Lonchura striata: one gene and its partners. The protein of the gene in region 1 interacts with the protein of each later gene in a pairwise test. Links are inferred from orthologs where the notes say so. Each region holds a gene or a part of one and is shown in the gene's direction. Other genes may lie near its edges.

The links.
Region 2: the proteins of EPM2A (region 1) and PPP1R3D interact in a two-hybrid assay, tested with the Homo sapiens proteins (2 studies listed by BioGRID, with this or other methods). The link is inferred for Lonchura striata from reciprocal best matches to the Homo sapiens genes EPM2A and PPP1R3D.
Region 3: the proteins of EPM2A (region 1) and PPP1R3C interact in binary tests that used the Homo sapiens proteins (3 or more experiments, as listed by UniProt). The link is inferred for Lonchura striata from reciprocal best matches to the Homo sapiens genes EPM2A and PPP1R3C.

Annotation. Positions count from the first base shown.
Region 1 is NC_134605.1:49,438,691-49,446,296, forward strand, and holds the start of EPM2A (laforin), read left to right. Parts: upstream 1-4,520; 5' UTR 4,521-4,581; coding exon 4,582-4,843; intron 4,844-4,926; exon of another isoform or gene 4,927-5,072; intron 5,073-7,606. UniProt on the Homo sapiens protein: Plays an important role in preventing glycogen hyperphosphorylation and the formation of insoluble aggregates, via its activity as glycogen phosphatase, and by promoting the ubiquitination of proteins involved in glycogen metabolism via its interaction with the E3 ubiquitin ligase NHLRC1/malin.
Region 2 is NC_134619.1:4,031,465-4,038,928, reverse strand, and holds the start of PPP1R3D (protein phosphatase 1 regulatory subunit 3D), read left to right. Parts: upstream 1-4,428; 5' UTR 4,429-5,089; coding exon 5,090-6,037; 3' UTR 6,038-7,464. Other genes in the region: protein FAM217B, read right to left, coding at 1-1,196, 1,579-1,664, 1,751-1,856, 3,026-3,126. UniProt on the Homo sapiens protein: Seems to act as a glycogen-targeting subunit for PP1. PP1 is essential for cell division, and participates in the regulation of glycogen metabolism, muscle contractility and protein synthesis.
Region 3 is NC_134609.1:16,471,259-16,478,288, reverse strand, and holds PPP1R3C (protein phosphatase 1 regulatory subunit 3C), read left to right. Parts: upstream 1-3,980; 5' UTR 3,981-4,054; intron 4,055-5,776; 5' UTR 5,777-5,777; coding exon 5,778-6,722; 3' UTR 6,723-6,829; downstream 6,830-7,030.

The DNA of each region.
Region 1 (7,606 bases):
TGGGGAGGATGCAGACAGCTTAACTGGATGTTGAAAAAAGAAACCTACCAGATCAGTTATTCCTGTATGTATTTCTGTAGTGTTTACTGTAATGTTATTGCATATTTATACTGCCAAGTTACTTCTAAAAACAACAACCTGTTTAAAAAATATGCTACACAAACCCCCATGCAAAAGTGGAAACCATCTCCTTTAGTGTCCTATCTATTGTTGCAGAAAATTTTTCCAACACAATTCCTGAAATGGTCATTCCTGACAGAACTTCTGTAGTTAAGTCTGCATAAAAGTTTGCTCCTAGCAATAAGCAGCTAAAATGGATCATGCAGTTATCAGTGCTCTGACACAGCTCTAAACTAAAAATTATGGATAGCAGTGCTTATCTGTTAACAAGTTCTTTAATCTTAGTCTTCTTTCAGTCTTCAGTCTATAAAGGTATTTATTAGCTGCTGTATTGTCAAATTAGAAATATTGGTGAGAGCATTAGTTCATAGTTCTATCAGAATTGATAAGAGAAGGACAGTTAGAATTCAATTAGAAGGTCTGGGTCTGTCGATTGAGTAGTTTAGAATACTTAACTTTTACTTAAACCAGTGGTCTTAAATTATTTGCACTAGAATAAGGTTTCTTTTATATTTAGCACAATCTCTTTGAAGAAATACAGGCTGTCTAAATTTTTCAGCAATGAATATTTTACCCAAATCATTAATACATCTAAATCAGCTTATCACATAATATAAATGTTTGCCTTTTTACAAGCAAGACTGTGTGCCATGTGCTGCTTTTCTCTTTTCTATAATTAGCAGAAACATTTGGGAATTGCAATAACACTTTCTCTGTATCTTTACAAGAAAGAAAATGACCTAAAAAGGGAAGAAAGGCAAGTCTAGGAAGGAGCACTGCTAATCTAAACATCACCCACAACTTGCAATCAGGAATACTCCCTCCCTTCTCCAACCAAATATTTCTGTATTTGTGTTTTGTTTCTGTTATTCAAGCTCTCTCTCTTCACTACAGATTTCCCTACTTGGAAATACCATCTTAGATCACTGTACAGCAATAACAGATAAAGCTGTTCCAAGCTGCAACTGGGCTATGGGGCAAAAGTTTGGAATTGCTAAAAGAAGAACACTTATACTGCAGACACAGGCTACCCCAGCATGGAACTATTAACTTCAGCTGTCATTTTAGTAGTATTCACATTGATCAGATAACTGTGTGCTGTCTCTATACCTAGTAGACACTTTGCAGATAAGAAAACTGTGAAGAAAAATATGACTTTCCACTTGGAAAGCTGAATTTTGAACTGGAGTATGCTGTCAAACTTCTCAACTACTGTCTTCACTAAAATTTCGGCCAGCAATACTTTGCACAATTTTTTTGGGATGTAACAAATGGTTTAAAACTCTTGGGTTCACAAAAATATCATGACAATTTTATTTCTGAAAGAGACACCATAAGAAATTTGACTTCTGCAGAATGTTAGAACTGTGATTCTGCAAATGTTTAGTGCACAGCAAGTGAAAATGCCTTTAAATGTGTTTTACATGTCTGCAAATGAAGTCACATTTCTGGACATTCAGCCTTCTCCGTAGAATCCTTTCAGATACAGCCGTTAGGCAGAAACCTGAAGGCATAACTGATGGTTGGTTGATGTTAAGTTGGTACACAGCCTCGGTGAGTCCTCCTGTGTGATCCCCACTACCTGCACAAATTTTGGATAATAAGCCAGCTAATTAGCTAGAAATTACACAAGGCTACTATGTATTGGTACAATTTAGGTGAACTCCACAAAGCAAGTCATTCTTGCAGAAACTGATCTCTCAAGTCCCTTCTTGCACACTAATGCTGTGTAAAAATAGGCTGTCCTTTTTTTTTCATATAATTCTTCCCTTTTTGCCAGTTAGAAACAACTTTAGCAAATGCCTCGGATGGTAGCAGAAACAATAAACTGAAGGCTTTTAAATAAACTTGGCATTAAGCCTCACTGTGTTGCTAGCTCACTGTTTGATTTGAGGTCAGTCGGGGCTTCCATTCAGCAAGTGGCTGCTGTAAGTATATTGAGAGATCCTAAACAGCTGTGAGAGGCACAAATGCACAGCATTTATGATTGCAATGCAAACAGACCCCTAAGATGGTAGCTTGTTCCCACAGGAATCAATGAGTGACAGTAGTTTTTGTGACAATTAAAAACAGCTTAACTATTGGGGTTTTGCCCCTTTGTGCCAAAGCTTTTTGATGGGAATTGTAAGGCTTGCCAAGTTGGAAGGAAGACTTACTATAGTGGAAAAAAAAAAAAAAAAGGAAATAGTCATGTTTAATTTGTGGTTGTAAAAGATGACTGGATTATCATGAAAGCTTTTAGGTTTCAGAATAGTGTTAAGAACTAGGGGAAGAGCACTGGCCAGGCAGTACTAGAATAACAGGTCATTTTGGCAAAGGAAACTATTGTTAATTCCTTAAGAGGCTTAGGGTGACACTTGAAACTAAATTTAGGGTTATGGCAGTGGCTCAACTGTGGAAGTACTTCATCAACTCCTTCAATCCCAAATACTAACAGTAAGTGGAACTCCTCCCTACCTCCTCTGCCTTTACTCCAGCTGAAATTCCAGTTTAGAAGATGACAAATCATAGACCATGCAAATCTAACAGGGGAAAAAACATACATTTGCAAAAACAAACTTCACAGTACCTTTAGCTCCTCAGTCTCAGATCTAATGCTAATAAATTTTATCCTGTCTACAGCCCCCATTCAGCCTGCAATTTCACCAATATAAACTGCTCTTCTGTTCCCACTATACCCAGCCATGGGATGTCCCAAACCAATCTACATTTCTAGTTTTTATCTCAGTCTTGCAGGATCCATCAGTAGATCCAGTTTTTCAGCCCTTCCTGTTGATCTCTCAACCTAACCCTTATCTGCACTAGGGCTTTTGAGGAAACGTCAGGAAATCAAGCTGGCCACTTTCTGTCATCTTTAACACACAATATTGAGTGGCACAAAATGGATTAAGGCAGATCCCGGAGAAGAAATTGACTAAATTAATTTTAAAGATACTACTTGGCACATCAGAGTCTACAGAACAATTTTTTATTGTTCCACAAGGCTTACAGGTCTAAGATGAGGACTCAATATTTACAGGCACAAAGCAGTTCAGTCTTGTCCAAAGATGGATGTTGCTGGTCTCTCTTTACACTGGGGCTTAGACAACAGCCAGGAACTAAACTGTCAATCAGATGCCCTATTGAATCCTGCAGTTTTTAAGCTGTGACTGGAATGAACAGAAGCATATGGTTTTGTGTAGACACAATATGCTGAGGTGGTTTTAGGACTCCTGTCATGCTTGATCTTTAGGATAAAACCCCAGAATTCTTACATTCTGTCTCGTGCTGCTAAAATGGGGGTGTATGGTAAAGAGTTAGATATTTGAAATTATGAGACAGGGTATGGGTAGCTCAACTGTAAGGTTGAGAAAAAAAAATTAAAATGTGCTGCACTGTTCCACAAAAGCAGCAGTGCTACAGTAAAGCCAGCAGAAATGGAGGACAGTGAGAATTTCATTTGTTTTGGTTATGTCTGGAAAAGTGGTAGAATATCACTTACACAAGTTCAATGAGTATCAGTGAAAATTGGCTAAAGCACTCTTAAAAATAAATTTGGCAGCACATACACTTCAGTGTCATCACCCCTGCATAAAGGAAACAAACAGCCATCTCTTGAGGCAGGATTTCTTTTGACTCATTGAAAGGCCTTCATCCTGTTCCCAGAACCTGACCTAAATAAAGTTACCATTTCTCTTTTTCTGTCCTTAAAAGCTTCTGAAATGGGTGTATTCAAGCAGGGACCGCCCATTAAATGGCTGGATTGCATCCTCTTCCTCAGTCTTTTTAAGTCCTTAGTATTGCTACGCGTAGGAGTTGCCAAATTTTCCCCTTCTGGCCGTAAACAGAACTCGTGCAGCGAACTCCAGATTTCTTTAAAAGCTTTCTAACCTCCCTCAGCACTTCACATTTATTTTCTCACCATGACTGGCTGGCTGTCAGCGGGAAAGACATAAACATCATGAACACTACAGCGTTATTTGCAGCCAGTCCTTGTTCGTAGCTGCAAGTACGGCAATTTTCAATGATGTCTTTGCTGCGCTAAATTAAGCCTGAGTTCTTGGCAGTAATTGCAATGGCTTCCTTTAACGCAGCAATAATCCTTGTTACAGTCACCATACGTGACGCGTAGCCTTTGGCAACCAGGAGAGCCAGTGTTTAGCTGCGGAGGGGATTTTCCATCCCCACTTTAGGAGGCGATTGAGGCTCGGTGTTGCTCAACTCCCCTTCGGAGGGGAAGATCCCCGGCAGCGTGCGTGCGGCAGCCGAGCGCCCGAAACAAGCGGGAGCAGCCCCGGCCGAAGGAGGCACCTCTCGGGCTCCGCAAGGGCAGGGCCGGTGGCCGGGGCAGCGTCCGGGCCAGGGGCGGTCTCCGGGCCGGTGTCCGACCCCCAGCCCCGGCGGAAGGGCGGGCCCGGGCGGCCTGCCAGCGGCGGCTGTGCAATAGCAGAGCTCCCGGTTAAGCGCCGTTCTTTGTGTACGATGCTGTTCCGCTTCGGCGTGGTGCTGCCCGGCCGGGTGACGGAGGGCGGCGCGGAGCTGCTGGTGGCCGGGTCGCGGCCGGAGCTGGGCGAGTGGGACCCGCGGCGCGCCGTGCCCATGAGGCGGGCGCGGCCGAGCGCCCCGCTGCCCGCCCAGGAGCCCGCGCTGTGGCTGGCCGAGGTGGCGCTGCCGGACGAGGACGCCGCCAGCCCCTTCTGGTACAAGTTCCTGCGGCGGGAGGGCGGCCACTTCCTCTGGGAAGGTAACGGAGGGACCCCCTGGCCGTGCCCGGCCCCGCCGGGAGGGGCGGTGCGGCTCTGAGCACCGCTGCGGCGCCGTCCGCCCGCTCCCGCCGCTCCCTGTCCCCGGAGCCGCCGGTGCACGTAGAGCCGCCCAGGCTGTCGCGGCTCTCGTGACGTGGGTGCTCGCAAACACAAGTGTTTTTTGGCTGTGTGATGGAGGCGGGTAAATACAGGAGGCTGTCTTTATAGGTTGGTAAAAGTTACTTGAAACAGTTTCATTCCCCCCACCCCCTTGCTTTAGGCATCCATTGTCATGAAGTTTTGTTTCTTCCTCAGAAGTGAAGAATTTAGGATCTCCTAGTATTCACTATGGTGTAGTTATTTCATTTCGCTAAGGTGATGTGTCATTATGGCATTTTCAGGCTGGTAAATTTTGCTATTTTGATTTCTTAAAGAAAAGCACAGGGAGAAGTTTAGTTACAGCTTTTCCAGTCTTCTTGCTGTTTCAGTAGTACTTCCACCGTGTTTTCCTCTTTCTGTGTGTTTTCAAATATTGAATAACTGGTCAGTTTCCATATGCTGTTTAGTATACTGAAGTATCTTAAATCCAAGGGAACACTGAGACAGTCGTTTCCTGAGTCAAATAAAACTCTAAATATACCTCCTGTAACTGAGGAATGGTCTGACCTAGTGAAAGGAAGATAGATCACTTGGTAATTTGTGAGGGTATTTTTTTAACTCATAGCATAATAATCCATGTACCAAAATAACACATTGTAGAGCAGTTGCTCTTCACCCATTTTAAGAATACATACCACATTTCTGAACTGCCTTTCTGTCATGTAGACTAAAACATGCATGTTGTCATAACTGTTGCATTTGTTTGTTCTTCATGCTAATAAAAGACTTCATGTAAATGCTACATTCACAGAAGTTTACATCATAAAGGACTATGTCCCTCATACAATAGTAATTGTTTTGTTTAGCAGCTAAAACAAATAGTATATTCTGCCTGTTTTAACCATGTTTTCTTTTCCAGAATTGCAGGAAAAGTGAATTTATGGAATAAAAATCTTTACATCTGTCCAAGGAAGCAGAATTGGGTCCCTTTGAAGGTGCCAAGTTGTACATAATATGACAGTGATACTGGTATATAAAGCAGTCCTCACCACACAGATTTTAGAAATAATAGTAGAAATAGAAATAATTAGAATTTCATAGAAATAATAGTGAATAATTAGAGAGAATCATCAATTTGAAGGTTGATGGTTATGTTCTGGTTTGGAAGTAGTGGTAGCTCAAATTGTTGTCTATTCAGGGAGCACGTTTAGGAAATGTAGTCAGAGTAATAAACATACTTTGATTTGGCAGATTTGCAGTTTTAGGATTAACCTGGCTGGCATTTTGTTCTTGTCATTGTGAATGCTCAGGAGTTTGAGCTCAGTGGTTACCAGGAACGATAGAAAGCAAGTGGGCACATCGTCTAAATGCAGAATAATTTTTTAATTAGTCATTAATATCAACAGTTTTTTCCTCAATTGATATTTACATGAAAGTACAAATTTGCTTAAACCTTGAAATTTATTTTTCTTGCTTTATTGCATGAAGGAAGCCTAGGGAAATTTTCTTATCCAATAACTGAGCAATCTTGCCATTCTTTTTAATCTGTTTTAGTGTTTTTTGGTTTTTGGGGTTTTTTAACTGTGATCAATGAAAATTTGTCTGTCATCTGTTTATTCTTGTAAAACCCAGAGCTTGAAAAGACAACTCTCTTCTTAAAAAAAGAACAGGTGTTTTTTTGTGCTGAACAAATGCTGTGCATTGTCTCTTTAGTATCCTGTGTGTTTAGAATTAAAATGGGCTTTGGGAAACACTTAGCTCTTGCAGAACATCTGCAGTTTTGAAGACATGTTTGTGAGGGATAGAGGAAAGTGCAGAATGATACTTGCTCTAAGTTTATGAGTTGAGGCATCCATCTGTAACCAGAGAAACTGTAGTCCATGGATGTCAGTCTGATTAGGGGTGTCAGATGTTTACATATATTGGATGTTGAAATCATGTGCTGTATTTAAGAAAATTACTTCATCTTTTTTACTAAGACACATACGTGTGTGAGAATTCCACTGGCAGTGCATATTGTTTTTGTGATAGTACGATACCTATGTATCATCTGTTTTGAGTACAAATTTCAGCCATTCCAATACAGTGGGGAAGACTGAAAGATAAAAGTGGAGGTAGTTATTTATGTGGGCTAGAAGAGTCAAAGTCACAGGCCAGTGTTCTATGGCTTTTGGTAGGAAGCTTTCAGGCAAGGCTTGGCCTGTGCAAGATTCACTGGGTTGTTGCATGTGCCTTGAGGGAACAAGTTCCCCTCCCTAGGAGGACAAAGTGGGAGGTGAGACTCCCCTGTGCTCCTGAAGATACTTGCTTCTGCTGTCCCAGGGAGATGTTGCTGGTCTGCACACAGGACCTGTCACTTAAAGCCATTGAGTGTTTCTGGCTCAGGTCACATGAGCTGTGTGGGGTTTCTTCAGGATTGGTACTTGCTTACCTACTGTGAAAGCTGAAGCCTGCTATCCAGGAGGGTTTGTGATATGCTGTCTCTTTGTATATGCTGTCGAAACAGGTTGGTTATGCTGAGCTTTAGAATCTGGGAATTAGAAAAAAAGCTAAATTCATGTATGTACCTTTTTCTCCCCCAAGTGCACCTGTGTCTGTGTACTTTGTTTTTTGTGTTGATTCTTCAAAACTGGACTTAACATCTCTCAGCTTGGAAACTAAAA
Region 2 (7,464 bases), on another chromosome or scaffold:
AGCTGCTGGCATTGCCATTTTTCTTTGGATTTGTACACACGTATGTTTTTAAGCCTTTGATGGGAGCAGCTGCACCATTGAACGCTGGGGTTTGCTTAGGGGGTCTGATGTTACCAACACTTTGGATTTTAGAGCTGCTCTCGGGGGGCTGCAGACTGAGAAGCTGCTGCTTTGCAGCTGGTTTCTTTTTCAGTTCACTCCTTCCATCACCAGTTTGCCTCTGAGAAGAGGCTGCACACCCCATCCTCTCAGGAACTTTCAGGTGACCTGTGTGGGAACGCACCTGGCGAGCCTGCTCAGGGCACAGCTCTGCCCTGTGACCCAAAGAGCTCCTGGGCAGCCTGGTCACACTGTCCTGGGGCACGGCCTGCCTGCTGGGCACAGGGCTGAGCAAGGCTTTGCCTTTCCCGGGGCTCTTGAGGGCACGGCTGGGGCCGGGGGCAGTCTGGGGCCGGGCTTTGGTGGCCCTGCCCCTCTCGCTCTGCACCGTCTGCAGCTGCAGCCACTCCAGCTGCAGCAGGCGCTCCATGAACTTCTCCAGGGATCCCGTGGGCCTGGGGCGGAAATCGCTTTTCCCTTCCACGTGGACAAAGGTGGCCAGCTGCTTCAAGTCCCAAGAATTGAAAGGGGGTGGGAGGAAGTCGGGGTAGTAATATTCAGATTCTTTAAATCCCATTTCGGGGATGTGCTCCAAACAAACTGGGTCGATTTCTTCAGCTCTGAGGATGAGTTCTGGTGGAGTGCAGGGAGAGGGGGGAATGGGAATCCTTTCTGAGTCAGAGAGGTCACTGGCACTATCATCTTCAGCATCTTCTTTAATAATTTGTACCGACTCAAAATCAAGAAACATTTGACTTACAGATGCTTCTTGCCATTTTGAAGAGCCTGGACTGGCTTCAGCCATGTATTCTTCGTGATTCCTCCCCAACTGTTCTTTTTTACTGCAATAAAAATGCTGCACTGAGACATCCTTAGCCCTACAGAAGTTTTCTTGTGTGCTGCCCTTTGTGCCAGCAGGGATCCTGTGCAGTAAGGATTCGTTTTGCCTTCTTTCTGGGGGACTCCTGTGCAGGAAGGATTGATTTTGCCTTCTTTCTGGGGGACTCCTGTGTAGGAGGGATTCGTTTTGCCTTCTTTCTGGAGGACTCCTCTTTGGTCCTTGTGCACTGTGCAGTGAGCTGCAAACACTCGGGATCCTAAAGGAAAAGGAAGTTAATGTACTGTTAGAATGGTCAGTGCCTTTGAACAGCAGCTTACAAAGGTCTTGCCACCCCTTCAAGGATGGAGATCTCTATGACTGAAGCTAAAACTGGCATGGAAACTTGGTAATGAGGCAAAATCAATAACTGCTGGTAGAGGTAAGACTGCCTACTACTGATCTGTTGTTGCCTGAGAACTCACTAAAGCAGTATAGCAAGTTTCCACTTTGATAACTTAAAATTTGTTGTTCTCATAAATGCTGAACTCTGAGCCCGTGAAGTCAAAAGCAAAACACAGCTGCTGCAGTTTCATCACAAGCATTTTGTCAACCAGTTTGAAATTACTACAAATTAAGCAGATAATCTTTCATAAAATTACCTTTTTGACTGATTATTGCCATCCAGCTGGTTCCTTCCCTTCTTATAAACATTTGGTTGGTAACCATCTTGAGTGTCATGGGAAATCTGGAGGGATATGAAAGTTTGAGATGTTATTAAGAAGCTGACTTATAGTAGTTACCCTTTGTATGTTAGGAAAGGGGATTATTTACCTTTTCAATGGCACTTGATACATTTTTGCCTAATCTTCCAGGAGGAGATTTCACATAAGAAATTGGTTTATATAGTCCTTTGGTGTTTGGATGGCTTTTTCCATTACTGTAACCACAAAGGATTAAACAAAATATCAGATATAAATAGCAGAATATATGAGTGTCAGAATGGAAGTACAATAAAAACTTAAGGAGTACAACTGAGTTGAAAAAAGTGCTGATTGTAGTCATTCTTAAAGTTCATTAGGACTATGCCACTATGGCCACTTTTTACTTTTTATACTACAAATGCACTGCTGTATTTTTAATATCATTAATACAAAAGTGAATAATTCTATCAGATGATATAATAATAGAATGTAGCCCTTATATAGAATCCTCTGTCAGAGGATCCTAAAGCTTCTTCGGACATAATAAATATTACAGATATTTAACTACTGATTTTTATAGCACCTGGTAGGTGCTCCAATTGCAATTTACCAAAATTAATTATAAAGTACAATATGAAGGTCACATATGAAGCCAAATCTTGCTTGTCTTTCCCATTTGCATATTCTCAACAAAACTTAAAGGATTATTCCTTTGAAGATAAGGAGTGGAAGTGAACAGGGAGCATAAGGTCTCTTCTGGTATTAATACAAACTATTTCACAATGAAGGCATAAAAAAATCCCTATTTCACAATATAAGAGGGTTGTGAAAATATTATTATGAGAAAAAGCTCATATGAAAGCAAGAGGAATGGCACTGCTGATCTGGGCAGCTTAGAACTAAAACTTAATTAAACCAGCTACATTTCTGTGTAAGCACACAGAATAAATAAATCAGCATATTCTGCAGAATAAGAACAGTGTTTTCTCTACAGAAAAAAAATATTACTGATTTCCAAATTGAAAGCTTTAAAATACTATTTCAGAACAGGAATATTCAAACTGTGCCTTCCTGTCTAATCTAGCATTACTGCAGTTCAGTTTATTTGCCAGCCTGTACATCTTGTTCTCAGTTTCTGTGTCAGTATAGTCAGATTTTGATTTTAACAACACATGACTTTACAAATTCAAAAGCTTATAAAAGAATGAAGCTAAGTCCTGTGCCTCTAGCATTGCTGCAGTCACCTCTGTGACCTTGTGACCTGCACGATCATCCTGCACAATCATTTCTGTCGCTGGGATCAGGGGAGAGGAAGGCAGTGGGAACAAGACAACCAGGCACTTATTAACTAAGCCCAGCGTGTTGACACTCCAGTAACTATAAAAAGCGAAATTAATTTCCTTACTTTACCATTCCTTTGTAGTTTTCATTGGTGTGGTTGTGGCTTTCCTTCTGCTGTGTCTCTCTGTGCAGTAATAAGGGATATTCCTGAATGCCTGGTCCCATTATTCCTCTTTCCTAAGGGAATCTGCACTTCTACTGTTACATAATCTTCAAACGGCTCCAGTCTTTTGGCTTTGCAAGACACGATATATCCAATGCAGACATCGCCACGTCCTGGAGATGCTGGTGACAAACAAAATCCTCCCGATGTGATTCTATTTTTAAAGCAGGAAGATAAACATAATCAGCTACCAAACTGCACTGGAAAACAGTCCCCTCCCCCAGCACTCGCTTAGAGGGAAGCAGCATCTTCAATTTACTATTCCCAATTAAGGAAATACCTGAGGGTACCGTGTGCTCGCAGAGCTGCCGTGCAGGGTCAGGCGCTCATCCCCATCCCCGGCTCGGCCTGCGCACATCCCGGCGCTGCCCGGGGCTGGGCGTCACAGCCCAGCGGGGCGGGTGTTCCTGCTCCCAGTTTATGGAGAGCAGATCATCACCCCCCTGCGGGCTCAGCTGTCCTTTTTGTGTCGCAAAATGCGCTCTTCCCATATGCATACATGCAAATCTTGCATCCAAGACTTAATTTTTTTTTTTCCTTTTCCAAAACAAGTGTCTCATCAGCTCCTACTAAAAATACTCAGAGCAGGATCCATTGCTTGCTTTTATTCCAGAGGAAATGCATTCCCGTACCAGGGAACCGCACGGTTCCAAGGGTCCACAATGGACTGTAAATGTGAGAGGTGACAAACAGCTCTCCTGACCCACCTTTACTTCTACTGCAGTGCTGTTTATACATTTACAGTCACATTACACTTGATCCCGTCCTATCCCTCAAACGCCTCCCCGCATCCTGTCAGCGGAGCCGAGCCCCGGAGCCCCGGAGCGCCGCAGTCCCGCAGCCGGACGGGGCAGGGCAGCGCCCGGGATGGTGGCAGGCTGTATCCTCGGCTACGGCAGGCAGTGCCCGCGGTGGATGGCAGCAGTGCCACACTGTGCCCGCAGCGATGGCAGCAGTGCCCGCAGCGCCCGCCGAGCCGGGCCGGGCCCTCTCCGCTCCCTCCCGCCGCTGTCACCGCGCTCCCAAGGGCCGCTCCTTCGCTCGGGGGCCGCCCCGCATTCCCCGGCGATCCTCGCCCCGGCCCGGTACCTGCCCGTGCTCCGGCTCCGCGGCCCGCAGCAGCCGTAGCACCGCCCGAGCGCCGAGCGCGGGGGCCGTGCCGGGCGGGGCTGGGGCAGGGCCCCGCGCTTGCGCCGCGGGCGCGGAGCGGAGCGGCCGCGGTGTCGGCCGGGCCCCGGGGCCGCGGCTGCGCTCGGGCTGCCGCGGGGCCGCGCCGCCCATGGGCGCTGTGGCGGCCCCGAGCGCGGATCCGGCCCCCGCCAGCCACGACACCGAGCCCGGCGCCGCGGCCGACAGCCCGAGCCCGCCTTCCAGCCTCTGCAGCAGCCCCGGCTCCCTCCCGCCCGACAGCCTCCAAGGCTTCCCCGGCCTCGACTCGCCCAGCATCCAGTGTGACAGCCTGGAGTGTCCCCCCTGCTCGTGCTGCTGCTGCCGCCGGGGCGCGGGCTCGGCCGCAGCCAGCGAGGACAGCCTGCAGGCCCCTCTCGCCCGGGGCTCCGGCGCACGGTGCTTGGGCGCGCACAGCGCTTCCAGCGACTTCTCCGACAGCCTGGAGTCCTTCATCCAGCACGACAGCCTCCAGTCGCTCCCCAGCCTGGGTGTGAGCTCCTCCAGTATCAGCGGTGATAGCCTTGAATCGCTTTCCAGCCTGAGCCTGGGTGCCACCAGCCAGCACAGCGATCTCGAGTTCATCGGGCAGTGAGTCTGCCTTCAGCTTCCCACACAGCGCCTTACAGCTCTGCCAGCTGCCGTGCGAGCTGCCACGCTTCTGCCTTTCCTTCGAAGGTGACATTGCTCCAGGTGATCCTTGCTGCATCCAGTGCAGTAACCTCAGACCTTACTGTGGCTGCCGTTCCCAAATCAAGTGCTTCAGAGGGTCAGTGTTCATTGTTACCTGCAGTGTTAATGCTGATTTTCTGTCACCAGTTAAGAATGGAAGTGCGTGGTCCTCAGAGGAATCCCAGCTACCTCTCAGATCTCTATGAGAACATGTTAAGGGCTGAAGGAACAGTGGCACGAAGGCAGCAGCAGCCCCCAGCAGTCCATACAGGTAGCAGCAAGACATTTTGGAGCAGTGCCCCAGCCAAGGAGAGCGTCCAGCCAAATAATCATGCGAGCAGCACCTACTCCAGCTGTGACCCAGCCCTGCGGCCCATCATGTGTCGCCGAGCGAGGTCCCTGCCGACATCACTCGAGAGGAGGAAGAGAGAAGCAGTGCAGTGTCAGGCCGGCTGCCGGGGCCGCATGAACCGGGTCAGATTTGCTGATGCTCTGGGCTTGGAGCTCACTGAAGTAAAAGTCTTCCAAACTGAGGAGGATCCATCCATCCCTTTGCATGTCCTTTCCAGGCTCTCCATAAACTCAGACCTCTGGTACAGCAGCTTGAACTTGGAGTTTACTATGCAATGCTTGGTCCCTGACTTCCAGCAGCCTGCAGATTGTCCGGATTTCTCATCCCGACTCCAGGAGCAGCAGGTGTGTCTGGAACGGGTGACCAGCTCATATCTGGGTCTCAGTGGCACCATCCATGTTCAGAATGTTGCTTTTGAGAAGCAGGTGTCCGTGCGCTACACCTTCAACCAGTGGGAAAGCATCCACGAGGTGTGTGCTCGTTGGAATTGCAGCATCCCAGACAAAAACAGGCAGGATCAGGTTGATGTGTTCACTTTCTTTCTTCCTGTGCCTCCTTTCCTCCTTCAGCTGAGCACTCTCGTCCAGTTTGCAGCAAGGTACCAAGTCAACGGCCAGGAGTACTGGGATAACAACAGAGGCAAGAACTACACCCTCTGCTGCCGGATTCACCCCCTGAAGCTGCCAAGGGAGTGTGAGGAGAGCTGGATCCACTTCATCTGAACAGAGGCAGTGGCGCTGAGCAGCGTGCCTGTGGTCCCACTGGCACTCTGTCCCTTGCCATGGCGCTCTGCTCCTGTGGCAACAGTCTTCTTTTTGAAACCTGGCCAGGTGTCCCAGGGCTGGGAGGCAGCCAGTGGCCTGTACAAACTGCACTAAACCTCTGGGAAAGTTAAAAGGGCCAGAATCTGTAGTGAGATACCATCATAGAAAAGCCATGTGGGTTTTTTGAGTGCATGAGTCATTGCAGAATGGTTCCCAGGAATGCTGTGAGGCTACCAGAGAGCAAAACATTTCTTGTTGCTAGTGATACTCTTGGTTGCATAGAATGTTTCTAACTGATCTCTCTTACCATTTTCTACTGTTTGTTTTCTTATGTGGACAGTGTGGCTTCACTTGTTTTGTTTCTAATTTTGTTTATATTACTTCACCAAGTCAGGGCACTATTCCATTTATGCATAATTTGGATGACAGACACTGTGGGGAGTACTTGTATTTATATACATATGTTATTAAGGCTGTAACCATGTTAAATATTTCCATTAATATCTGAGCTGGAAATTTAATCCTACTATGAGGAAAACATACATGAAAATGTGCCATCAGCACCTCTGCTTCCCTTGGGAAAGAAAACAAAAGGTGCCTTTTCCAATCTCCTCCTTGCAGCAAGAGTGATTGTTACCAAAGTGTGTGTAAGGCACTGCTTGGGGAAATTCTCACCTTTGTCAAGTGATGCCCAAGTAGGTTTTTCTCAAGGTGGTGGTACAGGAATAGTCTTTCTGGTGCACCTGCTTTTAGTAAGGGAAATGAGACCAATATTGGACGTGTGGTTGTAAATGCAGTTGAAGGTCTCAACGCACTGGATGAATGCTCATGATTTTATCACTGTTGCTGGTAAAATTATAGATCAAGAAATGGATAGGATATAAAAAAAATATGTAAGGAAAAGAAATAGTAGAGGGAGCAGGGTACAGAAGTTTGGAATAGCATTCCAGAACCCTGCATCACAGTTGGTCCCAGTGTTCCAGAACTACTGCAGAAGTAGCTTTGACTTCTTTATTTAACTGCTTGCCATTGCAAAACAGTTGACCTCCTAAGACTGCAACCTTGCAACACAAGCAGGAACTTGAAAGCACTTAATTACACAGACTGATAAACAGAATCCCTTCTGCTGCAGGGAGAGCACAGGAACACAGGACCATCTTCCCGTGCTTCTTGCTTTATTATTTTCGTTCTGTGGTTTTAGTGTGTTTTAAGATTTGCAACAGGCTTAAATTTATGAAGTAAAGGCTTGTCCATAATTGTTCCCATACATAATCATTACTGCATGGAAAGTTTAGCTTTATATGTGTTACGTAGACTTTTAGAGCTGGCTGGATGGACATATTAGAAGAGCTGTGTTTTAGGACTATGCTTGAATATCAGGCCAC
Region 3 (7,030 bases), on another chromosome or scaffold:
CAACCATTAGTAATTTTCAAAGTTCACCAAAGGGCTCTGAGAAGCAAATAAATAATATAGCCTTCTATTAGGACTTAATAAAACTCTGCTTACAGAGTTTTTCATTAGATAAACCATTAAAAGTAATTATAAATTTTAAATGCTTACAGACTTGCTGTGTATCTGAAAAATCACTATTTGCCTTACAGTCACATTCATAGAAAACTGCAGCCCAACTTCATAGATAATACACATTTACAAAGATTAGTTTTATAGCGGAGAACAAACATTGAACAGAAGAGCTCAAGACAAGGAAAAAAAATGGCTGCTGTTTACCTTGTGTTACAGAATTGACCCTGTCTATTACCACAGATGTTCTTTAAAGCCATTAAAGCTCTGTCTCTTTCACAGGTGTTGTGTGATGCTGCAGGAACGAGCCAGCCAAAATAAGGTGGACATATTTTGTTTTCTAATGACACCAGTATAGTGCTGCTGGCCTAGCAATTGGTTTTAGTTTCAAGCCCAAAACCAAATCAAAAGGCTTTCCTGCTCAATTGCATACTGTAACTGCACTAAGCTAGCACTGCTCTCCCACCCAGCAAACAGTAAGGATTTCTCAAGAGATGCTTTACTATGCAAGTGAAATGGACGTATGTTCTTCTCTCTGGACTTTTTTACCTATAAATGTGGTCATGACTTTACTTTGCTCTGAGGAAATATTTGCCTATCTTCAAAAGCTTCAAAAACCTTTAATTAAATGATAATAGCTCCTCTACTCCTTCTATATCCTCCACTGCGATGTTTTTCCTTTCTTCCTTCCTGAAGTTGTGGGGGAGGATAGCAAAGAAGCACAGCGACCTGAAAGTAATATAGTCATAGTAAACACAAATTCCTTGCTTAATTACTCGGTCCCAGAACAGAGGCTGAAAAAAAAGCAGTTTTTTCATTCTCATAAAATGATAAGAGCCAGCAAAGAGATGACCAGAGCAGCCCATTGCAGTGTGATAGCTGACAGGAAGGCACAATCACTCATTATCTGTTCCCAGAACTGCTGATTGAAAGGTTGTGGTTAGTTCAGCTGAGGTGAAGAATGGCAAGATCTGGAGGACCATCTGCATATAAAAGCATTTGCTGTGGAGCTAATACCATATATTTGTCTTTGAACAGAGCAGCGTGAGCCCAGTTGCCAGTTTGTCACTGAGCAACCTCAATGAACTCCTTGCAAGCGAGCCTGTGCCTTCCACTGCATCTGGACCATCTAGGCTGCAAACTGCTTTAAAAACGTACATTTAAGATTTAGCGAAACTATGGTAGCTATAATAAATCTGTGTTTTCTATAGCTAACACGTTGCAATTAACTTACTAGGTCTAATGTGCCACTTTTTCAGGAAATGACAGAGAACTAGTCTGGGTGATCGACTTGGGTTTCCTTCTTACAGAAGCAGTTGGAGGTACAACCCCCTATGATGGGGCTTGATTTTATAATCAGCCGTGCTTTTTCCACTTACATATTTCTGCCACTGTGCACCTACCAATGTCAGAAAAGCTGATATGCCACAAAGTGCTGTCAAATGCCCAGTAAGACAGGAGATTTTTTTTCCTCTGGTGCTCCTATTTTAGCAGCACGATTTGAAAGGTAAGACAGACAGACAGATCTACATTTTAAGATGCCAAACCAAAGTATCTGGAAACCTGAGTCCTCTATAAAAAGCACAGCTAGGGAACCATCACTGACAGGACAGACTGGTGTGTTAACTCACATAACCCTGTCAGTTTGCCTCAATGCAGGGATGCCTCCCTAGATGAGGAAAGAGTTACCCTTGCTCTGCACAACACTCTCTGCTTGTATTGGCAACCAGGAACTGGGACACCAGACCACGGCCATGAATGTGCTCCAGAGTACCAATTAGGCACAAAGTTCCCGTATCCAGTCTGTATTTACTGACTTGGGCAATGATGTGCCTGTGAAAGGTCTGGATCTCACTACCATTTTTTTTCCTAATCATATCACTTTAAACAGTCTTTCAAGATGTTTTCCAAGTTAGGCAAAACAGGTATTTTACACAGCAGAAGCAAAATATTTTATAGCACCAACAGTGCAACGAGCTACTATATAGCAACAGAAATATGTGCAGGAAAGCCTTGAGGCAACTCCTTTTTTACAGGCCTCAAGCAGCTCTTATTTAGTGTCTGCAGATAGTGTGATAGAGCAGCCCCAGCTCTGCTGCACGTGATCTCTGCTAACACAGCAACCCAGCTAAGGAGTGTGTGTGGACAGAGATCCAAGTAGTACAGGCAAACAAACGCCAGAGTTATTTACTGATTTTTTTATGAGTAAATAGAAGAGATTTGGTAAGTGCCAGCCATGTGTCCAGTCTTTCCTTATACCCATGGGTATGTTTGACCTAGTTTACTCCAGGTGGGGGGGTTGAGGCTGAAAGTCTTTGTAGCTCCTCCAAAAGAAAAATAAACTTGCAACTAGTAAGGCTATTAGCAAGGCTTCCAAAACACAGATGCTGTTTTCTATCACTTTCTGTAGACAAAGAATGAGAAAATATCATCTGCCTTCGATAGGGAGCCAGCAGTCACCAAAAGATAAAAGAAGGGAAAGGAGAGGAAGAGCAATGTCAGTAGCAGGGATGCAGCTTGAGAAGTGGAGGACCAGGGAAGGCTGTCCTGAGTAACTGGCTCCAGGGAACAGAACAGGACCTTCCATAGCCCTGTCTGCACTGCCAGTTAATGCTTCAGGCTTTGTCTGGGTGACACTTACTGTCATATACTGTCACAAAAGGCAGGAACTTCAGTCACCAAAGGGCAGAACTAAGAAACTGCAGTGTTACTGGCTGGTGAATACTCTCATTACATGTACAGAGGCAGATACTGATCTATGTGCCATGCATCTGTCATCAGAAGGCTCTAACCTTTTCTGTTTGTGCCCTCTGCTTGTATGTAGCTTGAATCCAAGGTGAAAGTGTCCTTGTCATCATCTGGTATGCTCACACCCTATCTTCTAATAAATTCTCACGCATAAGCAGTAGAGCTTTTAATTTCTTTTGCTCACAGATCAAGAACAGAAAAATCCTTTACTGTTTGCTCATCACTGTAAGCCCCCTTTGCTTCATGTAGAACATAGGACTTCCTGCTGTTCACTTGTATGTTGTCTCATTTACTGGTAAAAACTGTGAACTCAGAAAATCACAGTTCATAGACTCCCTATCACATCTTGTTACGTTGCCTGCAAGCTATCTCCCACCCTTGGGAAAGAGCAGCTGAGCAGCAAGAAGATGGCAGTGGAACTGTTCATCTGCAGAAGACCCGGAGAAAAAGTTAGCATCCAGGACATGGTCTTTGAAGAGCAGTAACTCAGCAACAGACCTCTAGTAGGATTACTCAGCCTGCTGTGGCTAACGCTAACGCTGCGGGGGCTGCCTTCCACCACCTTCTGTCCCTTTCCTCTGGAAAAAGGCAGTAGATAAAATGTGGGGCCTATAGCAGGGCCTGTCATCCTCAGGCAGTGCACAGATCACCAGGTGTGCGAGGTGAAAAGCTGTCTGCACCATTTACATTAAAAGTTCAAAAGTACTTTTTCACTGAGGACAAATGCAGTTAGACTCCAGGATGATGGATTTCTGGCCCTGGGAACATTACCTTACAACTTAGTGTCCCGGCTTCTTTCCAACGAAGCAGAGAAGTCTATAATTTAACACAGGTTTTGTTCAGCTGGGCAAGTTCCCGAAGCAGCCGCACACGGGCACGCGAAAAGCCCTGGCAGAGAACGCCGCTCGCTCGCTGGCTGCCGGCACGGCCGCGTGCCCGAGCGAGTCCCCGTCGCACCCCGGTGCCCGCAGCTGCTGCCGCCCTTCCCGGAGCACGCGGGAGCGGGGCCCGCTCCGGGCGGGGGCACCGGGGCTGCGTCCGCCCGGCAGCCCCGGGGCACGCGGCGGCCCCGGCGGGAGCGGCCCCCCGCCCGGCCCCGGGGCCGCCCCTTGGCCGCGGGCCGCGGCCCGGCCCCATAAAGGCGGCGGCGCGGCGGGCGCGGCCCGGGAGCGGCGGCCCCAGCACTGCAGCGCACCAGGTAAGCGCCGCCCGGCCCCGCTGCCCGCCCGGGTCCCGCCGCCCGCCCGGGTCCCGCCGCCCGCCCGGGTCCCGCCGCGCTCCGCGGGTCCCGCCGCCCGCCCGGGTCCCGCCGCCCGCCCGGGTCCCGCCGCGCTCCGCGGGTCCCGCCGCGCTCCGCGGGTCCCGCCGCCCGCCCGGGTCCCGCCGCGTTCCGCTGCCCCCGCCGGCCGCTGCCCCCGCCGCTGCCGTCCCCGCCGCTGCCCCCGCCGGCAGCGCCCGGCGCCCCCTCCAGCAGCCCGCAGCTGCTCCGGGGGTGGGGTGGGGTTTGCATGCTGGGCGCTTGTTCGCTATTTCGGTGTTGCGTGGGCTTTTCTCCTTTTTTATTTTTTTTTTTTTTATTTTTTTTTATTTTTTTTTATTTTTTTCCCCTGACACTGCAAAAGCTCGGGTCACCAAAGTTGCAGAGAGAGTATTTCTGAAGCCTTAGTTCTATTCCTAATAAAGCAAAGCAAGGCAAAAGTTGATTAATTTGATTCGGGTACTCTCCTCCTACTGCTTATTATGGTAAATACTCCGCAAATTAAAAAAAAAAAAAAAAAAGGCAAAAAGAGGCCACTGGAGCTCCTGCTTTATTTTTGGCAGGGCTCTGGAATACCAGTGAGAACTCTGGGAAGCAGAAAGCCATTTATTTAAGTGACAAAGCAAATGCCTTTCCATGATTCAACAAAGCTCTGTGTTTCCTGCAAAGACTGCATCCATTTCAGCAGGGATGTGCCATGGTTGAAGCCCCTTTTTAGAAATATTCAAGCTATCTGGCATTGCATGGGCCATGGCCTTGCACAGTAATTTTGATATCCGTCATTGAGAGGGAGGGTTATTAGTAACTCTTTACAAAAAAACCTGTAGCATTCTTATTGAATCCTTGCAGTAGACTTTCAGTATGGTCTTTAGGGATTATAAAAAGTTGTTTTAAAGTCAATTTTTGAAGCCTAATGAGGTGAAAAAAATAGCATGCCCTTCTCTTCTCCCACTTTTTCCCCCTGCTTCACTCAGCAGTTGACATTACCAGTGCAAAGAGCCCTATGACTTAGACCTGGGTTCACAGCTCATAAAAATACTTATAAAGGTGCTTTAGTATTTTTATTCAACTAAACAATTGCCTAAAAAGATCAACTGACAGTTGTTCAGAGCCACAGAATGATGGTTCTGCATAAAGATATATAGAATCCCATCTGATGCTCTGATGGGATATAGAATCCCATCTGATGCTCTGATGGGATAGGCAACTTGCTTAATATAGTGCTGTCTGTGCTCAGAGATGAAGCAGCTGATCCAGCTTGTTGGAATTTTAAGACCTCACTCAGGGCCTCTAAGAGGGAAGTGGATGAGCACTTCTACTTTAACTGGATTCGTTTTACTCACTACTAGAATGCTCTTTTCTGTATCTTTAAGAAAATATGTTCAACTAGCTTTCACTAAAATCTGTTTTTCAGAGTTTTGGATAAAGAAAGGAGAGTAGATTTGAATTGAAGAAATTTAGGGTTGGTAAGAAATGACTGACTAGTTTCAGTGTGGTTCCTTAGGCAGAATTGTCAATTTTTATTTTAGCCTGCATTGTTTAAAACTGTGCAGAGATGAAGCCGTGAGTAATTAAGATAATGGATGAAGTAAATACACATTCTTGAGAAGCTTCTTATCTGATGTGATAAATGATGACATCCGGTGTTTCTTCTCCATTCAGAATGTTACAGGTCTTGGACCCGAGACCCTTGCCCAGCTCCAGCATGCCTGTGGATATGGCCATGCGAATTTGCATAGCCCATTCTCCGCCGCTGAAAAGCTTTCTCGGCCCCCTCGAGGACTGCCAGAGAAACAGCTTTGTGAGCAGACTCAAACCTCTCAGGCCGTGCCTTCATGTGAAATGCGACTCTGAAGATCGGAAGAGCGACTGGAACCACTCGCCAGCCCGAGCCAAGAAGCGCGTTGTGTTTGCAGACTCCAAGGGGCTGTCCCTGACAGTGATCCACACCTTCTCCGAGTTCCAGGAGCCCCCTGTGTGGGATCTGCCTTTTGACCTCTTAGGCATTGAGGACATAACATCTGACTTAAAACTCCATGAGGAGAAAACCTTAATTCTGGGTTTCCCTCAGCCCTCAACTGACTACCTGGACTTTAGGAACCGTCTGCAGACGAACCTGGTCTGCCTGGAGACCTGCACCCTGCAAGAGAAGGTCCTGTCAGGCACTGTGAAAGTAAAAAATATGAGCTTTGAAAAAAAGGTTCAGGTTCGTATTACTTTTGATACGTGGAAGACCTACAAAGATGTTGAGTGTGTGTACATGAACAATGTTTACAGTGATTTTGAAAATGATACCTTCTCATTTACCATTGATTTTCCTCCTGCCATTTCCTCTGAAGAGAAGATAGAGTTTTGTATTTCTTACCAAAGTGGAGAACATACCTTCTGGGACAATAATGAGGGTCAGAATTACAAAATTGTACATGCAGAGTGGAAGCCTAATGGTGTTCAGATACCATCTGCCAAGGCAGGCTATGTAGATCTTCAGACTTCAAGGAGAGGACAAGAGAGAGAACCTGACCAGATGGGCAGTCCAAGGTTGTCCAGTGGTCTCTTTCCCCAGTGGCAGAGCTTGGGTCAGATTGAAAGTTCATTACCATACTGGTGATCCATGCTACTGAGGAAAAATCCTTCCATTTGGCAACAGAACAGTGCTAGATTTCTGGTTCACATACTGCATGGGGAAACCACCTGGCAGGTTTTGTTTGCTGTCTGAAAAAATCCAAGTTCATTAGACTGTGGGACTTGTTGAACCATTTTACGCTTGTGAAATCCTTAGCCAAACTTTATCCTTGGAAGGAAAGAAAACCAAGGTGCAATTCATGTGTATGCTACATACTATAGGAGTAGCTTGCCTGTATCTCAAGTATATGCTGCTTTCTTCCTGCTGTCAGCTCTCCTGGGTAGAGAGAGACT